Linked DNA regions of Oryzias latipes. The protein of the gene in region 1 purifies or fractionates together with the protein of each later gene. This does not show direct contact. Links are inferred from orthologs where the notes say so. Each region holds a gene or a part of one and is shown on either strand. Other genes may lie near its edges.

The links. Proteins that work in one complex are often made in the same cells at the same time.
Region 2: the proteins of serine/threonine-protein phosphatase 2A 55 kDa regulatory subunit B alpha isoform (region 1) and cdca4 purify together in Homo sapiens (affinity purification with mass spectrometry; 4 studies listed by BioGRID and IntAct, with this or other methods). This does not show direct contact. The link is inferred for Oryzias latipes from reciprocal best matches to the Homo sapiens genes PPP2R2A and CDCA4.

Annotation. Positions count from the first base shown.
Region 1 is NC_019870.2:24,066,287-24,070,515, forward strand, and holds part of serine/threonine-protein phosphatase 2A 55 kDa regulatory subunit B alpha isoform, read right to left. Parts: intron 2,836-4,229; coding exon 2,738-2,835; intron 2,608-2,737; coding exon 2,442-2,607; intron 1,986-2,441; coding exon 1,873-1,985; intron 1,570-1,872; coding exon 1,392-1,569; intron 1,280-1,391; coding exon 1,115-1,279; intron 1,035-1,114; coding exon 865-1,034; intron 1-864. UniProt on the Homo sapiens protein: Substrate-recognition subunit of protein phosphatase 2A (PP2A) that plays a key role in cell cycle by controlling mitosis entry and exit. Involved in chromosome clustering during late mitosis by mediating dephosphorylation of MKI67.
Region 2 is NC_019880.2:21,571,686-21,576,655, forward strand, and holds the start of cdca4 (cell division cycle-associated protein 4), read right to left. Parts: upstream 3,205-4,970; 5' UTR 2,962-3,204; intron 573-2,961; exon of another isoform or gene 1-572. UniProt on the Homo sapiens protein: May participate in the regulation of cell proliferation through the E2F/RB pathway. May be involved in molecular regulation of hematopoietic stem cells and progenitor cell lineage commitment and differentiation.

The DNA.
Region 1 (4,229 bases):
GCCTTTTTGTTTTGGATTTACTTTCAGTATGGACACACCTGAACGATCAACTTTCAGTTGTTTGGATTTGGTTTTGTTGTGGATGCAGACGATATCTGGAGTCGGAGTGACTGATCTCTGAGGTGAAGAAGCGCAGTGCAGACTAACAGGTTTTGGTTGATGGAAAAAAACTTTTACATTTTTGTATCTTTGTTTTTTGTTATGGAATAACAAGCATTGAGTCAACCGGAGTTTGTTGTAAATGTATGAATTTAAAGAATCTAAGAAGCTTTACAAGCCTGGAGTCATCAGTGCTTTCTTCAAAACAGCGTCTCCTAGTGGCCATCATGGTATTTAATTCAACACTGGAATTACATACAACAATCATACTTCACACATGAGCGGACATACCGATGTGAGAATTTGTAAGTGAATTTAAGGAGGAGCTCCTGAGGTGGAATACTAAAATTATGACAAGACCGTTTTGTTTTATTGTTGTGCATAAATGACCAGAATTACGACTAAGTATTTGGGCCTCCATAAAAAACGAGAAATCCAACATTTTACAAGTAACATCACACTATATTGAGGGGAAGAAGTCAAAATTTTACCAAGGTAAAATGTATTCTTCAAAAAAATTGCCATTTTACAAGGTAAAAGTAATGCCATTTAAAACATAAAATGTCTGGTTATACAAGTTTATTATCAGAAAATTTGACTTTTTTCCTCATAAATGTACAACTTTATTCTCTGATTTTTTTATTTTACGGTGGCGCTAATACTCTGTTGTCCTGACTAAACTGAAACTACTTTTGTCAGTGTTGATCATCAGAGCTTATGAAGCTCTGTTCACATTTATGTAACCATCTCACTCAGACTCCTCACCTGATAGGTCTCCACCGGCCTGTTTTCCATGTTTAGGTCCCAAATCTTCACAGACAAATAGTCTCTGGTCATCATGTAGCGTCCGCTATGACTAAACTTGACGTCTGAGATGGAGGAGATGATCTCAGAGAAGAAGGAGCGGTTACTCGGATCTTCTGGCTCCTCGAACACTTTGAAAGCAGAAAAAAATTCAGAACTTTCTGACGGTCTGGAGTCAGAAAACATGAAATCTGCCATCATGGATGCTCACGCTTGGTGTGCCTGTCACACAGAGCTGACTCCCTCATGTCGCACAGACGGATGATGCCTTTGCTGCTGCTGTAGACGAAAGTGTTGCACTGATGAGGATGGAATTCTGCTGCTGTGATCACTTCTGTCAGCTCCTCCATGTTGGCTGGCTTAATATCAACAATATCTGAGAGGAAACGGTCAAGGAGAGCAAAAACTACCGCCTGGATTGTACCCATGCTGCTTAAACCGCTACTAACAAGATTTGACAGGAAGTGCCAGCACGTGTTTGAGGATACTGAAGCTGCGGTCGGTAATCTCCAGGTGCCAGAGGTTGACGCGCAGGTCGTCTGCAGACAGGTAGGTCTCGTGGTCGCTGTTCACCGAAACAGAGTTGATGTGGTAGGTGTGAGCATTGGCAAACACCCTCCGTGGGCTGGCTTCCACCATCAGGTCCATGGGTATTAAAACAGGTACCTGAATGAAACAGTAAAAAATTAAAATGTATTAAAAAGAATGAGGTCTAGAGATTCTCACATACACACTGGTTACGCAGCTTTATCCGCACTGGACTTTCTTTAAAACATGGATCCAAACTCGCGCATATATTTTTTACCATTCTTTTAATTTGCGAGGTCACACTTATGTTAAGCAGCTAAAAACTTTAAAACCCAAAATCCAATGTTTTGTTTACTCTGATTTGTGCCAACAGTAAACACAAACGTGACTCAAAGGCTTTCTTAAATTCTCATTCAGGTGTCTCTGACGCCTTTGACTCACCCGCAGTGATGTGATGGAATTGGGATCTTTGTATCTTCCATCATCTTCTTTCAGGTTATAACCATCAGGTCTCTTGTCTCGTTCACTGATTTTCCATAACTTAATGGTCTTATCTGAAATCAAAAACAAACAACTTTTTTAATCTACAAACAGTGTGAAAGAGACTCATGTTGAAAACTTTTTCTAAAATTGACAATATGTTTTTCAGAAATGTAAAAAAAATTTTTATTGACACTGCTAATATTTCCGACAAACTACTCAGACAATTTCCATTTGTTGCTTCTGAGATCGCCGATTCCTCCTATGTTTCATGAAGCTAAATAAGCACCATTGTGTTACGGTAGTGAAGCGTGCAGATGTTCCGTCTATTATTGTTGTCTATTGCATTGTTATGATTTGCCTTTCAAGATGAAAAATGTTTGTCTTTGTTCCCATTTTCTTAAATTTCTCCCAAAAGTGCTTCTTATACTGTGACTAACAGTCCAAAAAACAGAGTGAGCTTATTTGTACCAAGGGTATAACTCCCTATGTAATCACAGCTGTTTGGAGTCAATAAGTGACAGATTTACCATTTGTTGACAACAAAAACTGTGCAGCATTCTTCTGAGGAAGCCAGCGGATCTTGTTGATTTTCTCTTCGATCTCCAAACTCTTCAGGTAGTCGAACTCTGGCTCGTGGCTTTGGAAGGTGCTGTAAACATTGTACTCACTCCGGAACTGAGGCAGGCTTTTATTCTGTTGAAATTGACAAAAAAAAATGAACTTCAGCCTCAGATCATGTAATTATTCCCCTTGTTTCCTAAAAACAAAAAGAGGAGATTGCTTTCCTCTAAAGCAGATGCCCGTTGCACACATGTAGCTGTACCTCTATTTCCTGCTGAAAAATCACCACCCGCCCTCCTTTGTCTCCAGTAGCCAGCAGCTCTCCTGTATGGTTAAACTCAACTGTAGATATTATGTCCGCTAAAAAAAAAAAGAAAGACAGACAGGAGGAAAATGGATTAGTCTTTCATTTGAAAGTACTTTCAAAGTATTTGTTACTTTTTTGGTAACAAGTACAAATCAAATCAGCATGTTAATCCAAACTCCTCCAGGATTTCTGTCGGCTTGTGGGCCAGACAGAAAATGATCTGTAACCTAGTTTTCCCTTTTCACGCCCCCCCCAACCCCACTAACATCCAATTATCCTCTCTTCCCCACACACACAGCTGAACGATACTTAAAGTGCTGGAGCACAATCCCATACAGATGCGGAGTGGCTCAACCTTTTGTTGCCCATTGGAGCAGAAAGACAATGTCCAACATGGGGGGGGGGTTGTGTGTTGTGCTGCTGGAGGACACTGGCATGTTGTTGATGGTCTTCATGTCAGGTGAAGGCATAAGCCTGAGCATACTTTCCCTTTAGCCCAGAGCATTGATGAACATAGATTATAACACAAGAAAACAGTGATAGATTTAAGACAACAAAAACGGATTCATCAGGACTTAAAAAAACAAACAAACAGCAACTAGACTTAAGATGTTTGAAGGCAACAAGACAGAAAGCTTGGAGTCTGGACCTATTTTTAACTGTTTCAGACATTGACTAACTGGAGTGTACATGGCGTCATCCAAAGAAAATGGCTTACTTCTGGCTCCAATCACATGAAGACAACTCAGTGGCGCAATACGGACACCACCATGCAAGTATCGTTTAGTCTGAGTCATCGTTTCTATGGCAACAACTCTTGCCATTCAGGAGTGAGCTTGTTGAAAGTCCACACCCCTACCACTTGAAATCAGGCAGCACAAAATCTGTCAAATGTTTTAAATAGTTAACATGAGACCACATACTTTTATTGAGGCATCTGACTGGTCAGTTTTAGAACTTGAAGAACTTGTGATAAACAAAAAATATCCTAATTAGGAATAACAAGAACTTATTAAAAAGGTATCAAAGCAAGAGTGGTTATTGTTACCAATAGGATGACTGAGTAACAGCTGTTTATTTCTCTATAGACATCTATGGGATTTTAGCTCCTAAGAACCAGTGAGGGGGGAGGAGTGACTCAGTCCAGTTCTCCTGTACAGTCAGGTTCAGTATTTGAACTGCAGACGGCCTTCGACATTTTATCCAATGAATAGCACACAGCTGCTGACAGTAAAAGCCATCATTACATGTGAAGTGAATGGATTTCGTACACAAAACATTGAAAGGATTTAATTTCAATATGTAGCTTTTTGGTTTACCGGTATATTTGTCAAATGACGAAAGTGTCTCTTCTCTAAACACAACACAAAAAGCCACAAAACAATGCTTGTATGTTCAGTTTTGCCACTAGAAATGAATTCAGAGAACATCTGGACATTTGTTTCTT
Region 2 (4,970 bases), on another chromosome or scaffold:
ATAAAATACAAAAAGGGTAAAAAAAACCAAACAGTTATGGACACAAGCATTTGTGATGTCCCCTACCTCCTCAAAAGGAAAAACCTCTGAAACGTGTACAGAAACAGGTCAGAGTTTACTGCACAAACAAGACACTTTTGGACATCCTAAATGGGGTTTTTCTGCAGCCAACACTTTGAAGTTCAGCATTTTGGGGTTAAATGTCAGACTGGTCCTGTTGAATAAAATAGAGCTTTTGCGTTTTTTTTGTTAAGGACTGAGCCGTGGCAGCAGGCGGTGTGTCTGTTCACATTCAGTCACCACACGTTTACCCCGTTTTAACCACAGTTTGCCGTTTTCTCAGTGATTTCACATTTAAAAGATCTAAAAAATATATATATGAATTTGATCCAAGGTTTTAGTAGACCTTGGATCAAATTTAGATTTTATGGGTAAAAAAAAAGATCTGAAATTCAAAGTGTTACTGACATAACTGACTTACAAATACAAAATGTTCAGTTCCTGTATTTATAAAAAAAAACTGGTTGTACAACTGACTGTATAAGAGAACTGGACCGAGCAGCCCCTCCCCCTCTGGCATTCCAAACAGGAAGTACCTGCTGGCTCCAAGAAGCCAAAATCCCACAGACTTCCAGAGGGAAACAGCTGTTACTCCGTCATACTATTGGTCAGAAGAACCGCTCTGGCTCTGATACCTTTTTTAAAAAAAATGTTCCTAATAATCCTCAATTTTTCTACATGATATTTTTTCCTTTGTTTAAGTTATTCAAATTATAAACTGACAGATAAGATTCCTCAGTGGCTACCCACATTCAGATTTCGTATGAATTCAAGTGGTAGGGGTGTAGCTTCCAACGAGCTGACTCCTGATTGGTGAGAGTGATTACTATAGAAACGTCGACTCAGACCGACCGATCACTGCTCACCGACAACATCTGGTTCCAACATGGTGATGTCTGTATTGCCAAAATTGACAGAATTGACTTTATTTGGCTATAAGAAAAGCGTTTTCTGTGGATGATGTCACACTCACTCAGTCCAGTTTTTGGAGGTCAATGGCTCGTCCTGAACGTGACAATGGTATATATATAATAATATATATATATATAATATATATATATAAGTATGAAATTCGGGCCTATCCACCAGTTTTTTTTTTCAATGAAAGCTGATTTGCTGTGGCGACCCCTAATGGGATGTGCCAAAAGGTGAACTAATGAAAATAGTTAGTCATCTCATTAAAGAAATGGACCTGGTGTAGCATGGGTGACACACGGGAGTTAGGCTTACCCAATTGGTTTTAAAGGGTCTATGTCCTTCTTTTCTAAAGCCTTTCAGAGTAAACTATATCCATATTTATTATCATATATTACCTTTGGGACACTATTTTCACAGCTTATTTTCCTACTAGGATGTAAGACGACTCGATCACAGAGGCTCCGCCTTTCTCTCCCTGTGGGTGCCACCCATTTTATGACATCATCCTAGTGCTGGCTTCAGCAGAGCGTCAAACATCTGAACTTTTCCAAAGATGGATGTTTATAAAAAAAATGAAATTGTTTAGCCGATCACCACTAGCTCCACTGAGAAAGTGGGTGTGTCTTTTAGCCTGGAGGCGGAGCTGGCAGCTCAGACTCTTCCTGGAAGGGGCGGGTCCTCACTTTGTGATGTCACAATGTGAGGACCCACTTGTTTTCATGGATTGGGAGGGGCCGGGGCTCAGAGATCCGGTTTTTAGAGGAATACTCAGAAATGAGTGACTGGATCAAAAAGCCACTTTAGGGATGTTTTTGTGAGGAATGAACATTAAAATACACTAAAAAGCATTCATTTGGCATGATATAAGCCCTTTAAATGGTGGGAAAATAAAACATTTAAATTAACAACACATTTGATAATTATAGTAATTGCCAAATAAATCGATTTGTTCTTAGTTTATTTCACTTCCTAGTAATGTAAAACAAAATGTGTCTAGACTTATGTTTTCAACGTTTACATTTATAACATGTCGACTGTTTTTAGAAGATTATTTGCTAATCAAGTTCTTCCCTTTGCACAAGAAGGTTCCAATAATGCGGTTGTATTGATTTTTACATTTGTTTGTCTGCTATAAATGCTCAATTGTTCTAAGTGGACGTGTATATATAATGAAACCTCCACATAAGGATGTAATCTTGTTTTTCATGATATATTATTGCACTTCGTCTTTTATTTAACCGGGAAATGCTGCCATGCGCCACACGGTGTGGAGACAGATGTGGACAGACACCCGGAAATGCCTCCTTTCACGTCCAGAAACGGAGAAAACGTGTCGTTTTTGGAGGTGATTTTCATGTAAACAGTGAAGACTTAGAGCTGGGGCCAAACAAAATGCAGCCGCGCTTTACGTCAATGGCTGCTACCGGGGCCCATCCCCCACCGCGGAGAGAAAAGGCAGCGGCACTTTTACAGCCCGCGCCGCCTAATCAATTAAAACCACCGTCCGCGCGCGCCCCACAAAGCGGTCGGTTCCCCTCCGTCAACCACGCTCTGGTACCGACCGCCAAGTACGGCGGTGGGAGTGGTGGGGTAAAGAGCCGCCGGCGACGCCGCCGCACGCTTTGTCTTCCAGCGGCCGACAATGAGGCCATTTTGCGCTGGCGGCTAACAGCTAGCCGGCTAGCCGCGGCGCTACTCTGAATGCGGTCTGTGGACTGGCGCCGGATAACCGTCCCCCAATGGTCACAAGCGGGCCTTTCGCGGCGGAATCGAACATATGGCATTTTCTCTGTCCCTGTTCGGTCCTCTTTATAACGTGTAAACTAGCGAGCGGTAAGCTAGTACGCTCCGAACGCCCACCCTCCCTCCCTCCGCGGTCCTTCCTCCTTTCTCAAAAACAGGAGTTTTCGCGGCGGCCGTGAACTAAACGTCCCCGACGGTCCCTGCGAGGCCCGGCTGTAAAAACACGGCGGCCGCACTCACCTCGTTTCTGCCTTATTTTACCTGTCTCGGTCATAGGATCGACGACAGGGAGAGCGGAGATCGGGTTCAGATGAGATCATTCATGCCACGGCTTCAAAACTGAAGCGGCTCCGTCCTGCTGCTGCGGAGCGGAGCGGAGGAAGGGAGGGGGAGGGGACCCAGCCAGCCATATGCCGGCCTGCGCCGCGCTCATCATCTGTCTGCCCCGCTCCGAAACACGCAAAAACACGCAATACGCGGCGGGACGGCGAAACACGTTCACTAAAACGACGAGGCGCACGCACGCCCAAGGGGCGCAAAACGACATTTGTGTAAAGAACGTTGGCAGAAGGATGAAAAGTGTTTAAAAGACGTGATCCATATGTGTATGTTTAAAAAACATTTGACACAATAACAACGTTCATGCTCTATTTTTTGTGATTTAAGAACATCTGTTACTAGGGGGAGTAGATTCACTTTAATAACGATTCGATTATTTGTGGTTGACAATATCAATATCGGTTCAGTTTGATCGATCCGATTCTCTGATCTAAAGTGGATCCAGATCATCTTCATCCAAACTTCCAGCAGTGAGACTCAGACAGACATTTCTGCGACTGAACAGTGAAGTTTTCCAGATTCTTGGATTTCTTCCAGATCATCAAGTTTAAATGAAATATGTGTCCATACAAACAAGTAAACTAGAATGAATGTCAAATCCATTTACATTCTAGTTTCCTAAAGTTCAGCCCACTCCCAGCCAGCAAGGCCAAGTGGGCCCTATATGATTTAAAAGTGGGCAGAAAATGTGGCCCCACCTGTGTTTGCCCACGTTGGCTTCAGTGGACAGCTCAGTTGCCCACCGGGCAACTGGCTAGTGTAGCAGAAGGGGAAGCGGCCGATGAGGCTGGCAGGACACCACAAACAGGAAAGGTCTTTGAACCCTACGCTCCGATCAAGATCGCTGATAGAAACCCCACGTTGTTCGATCCCACGGGACGTGGATTGCGTTCGGAGGGCAGCGGGTGTCAGGGCCTCTACTCATTGCGTCTCTTAAGGCCCGTACACACCGGGACGAATATTCGCCAGACGTTATTCGCCAGCGTTTTTCGCCACGTCTTTTGTGTTCACACCCAGGCGATTTTCGCTGACGATGAGCCGAGCAAACATGCAATTTCATTCCCTGACATTAGATGGCGCTTAATGTAAACAGAAATACTCCTGTACACAAGGTGGCGCTGCGCAGCTTCACTCTTCTTAAAGTCGCTTTTCATACAGAAGAAGAGAGCAAGTATTTACGCGCTTGTCAGAATAATACAAGGAAAACATGAATATTTCAAGCACCAGTTGCTCCAACTAGTGCTTGGTTCGGGGATATTTTAGAATGTCCGTCATTATTTCTTCGCGGCAGTGTAGACGCTACTTGGCGTCTATCTTCTTCGCTGGTATGTGTGCTTAGAAAGGCAGTTTTGTGTTTGAGTGCCCCCAAGTTGTGTTTTACTGTGACTTCAGAAGCTCCAGAGACGTGTGCAAAAGCGCCATTCTCATTGGTCGAATAGATTTCGACGCGACGCGTCAAACCAAAAAAACGAACCCAAGGCGTTTTTTAAAAAGTGACGCTTTGACGCGTGGCGTTTTTTCGCGTCGGTGTGCACACTCACATTGGTGCCCTTTGTTTAGTCACAAGGCGTTAAACGTCGGCGAATATCGCGCGCGAAATTCGTCCCGGTGTGAACAGGCATTTAGGAGCTGTCTGCGTTTGGCAGGAGATGAAGCTCCAGGTGGCTTTCTCTCTTGGTCCAAGCTGCAGCGACAGGGCGAGGATTTTTACCGCTGAGTGGAGAAGCGGCTACCAGGACTTTGTCAGACGTTGGAACTGACAGGACATGGAAGCGGTTGGAGAGGGTGAGGCCTTCACGGTCTGAGGCTTCCTTCCTTCTTGCAACCACAGCTCTGAACAGCAGTGGACGGTGTCCCAGTACCAATTTTTTTTTTTTGTACTCACGCAACCCTGTGGTTGCATTACATTC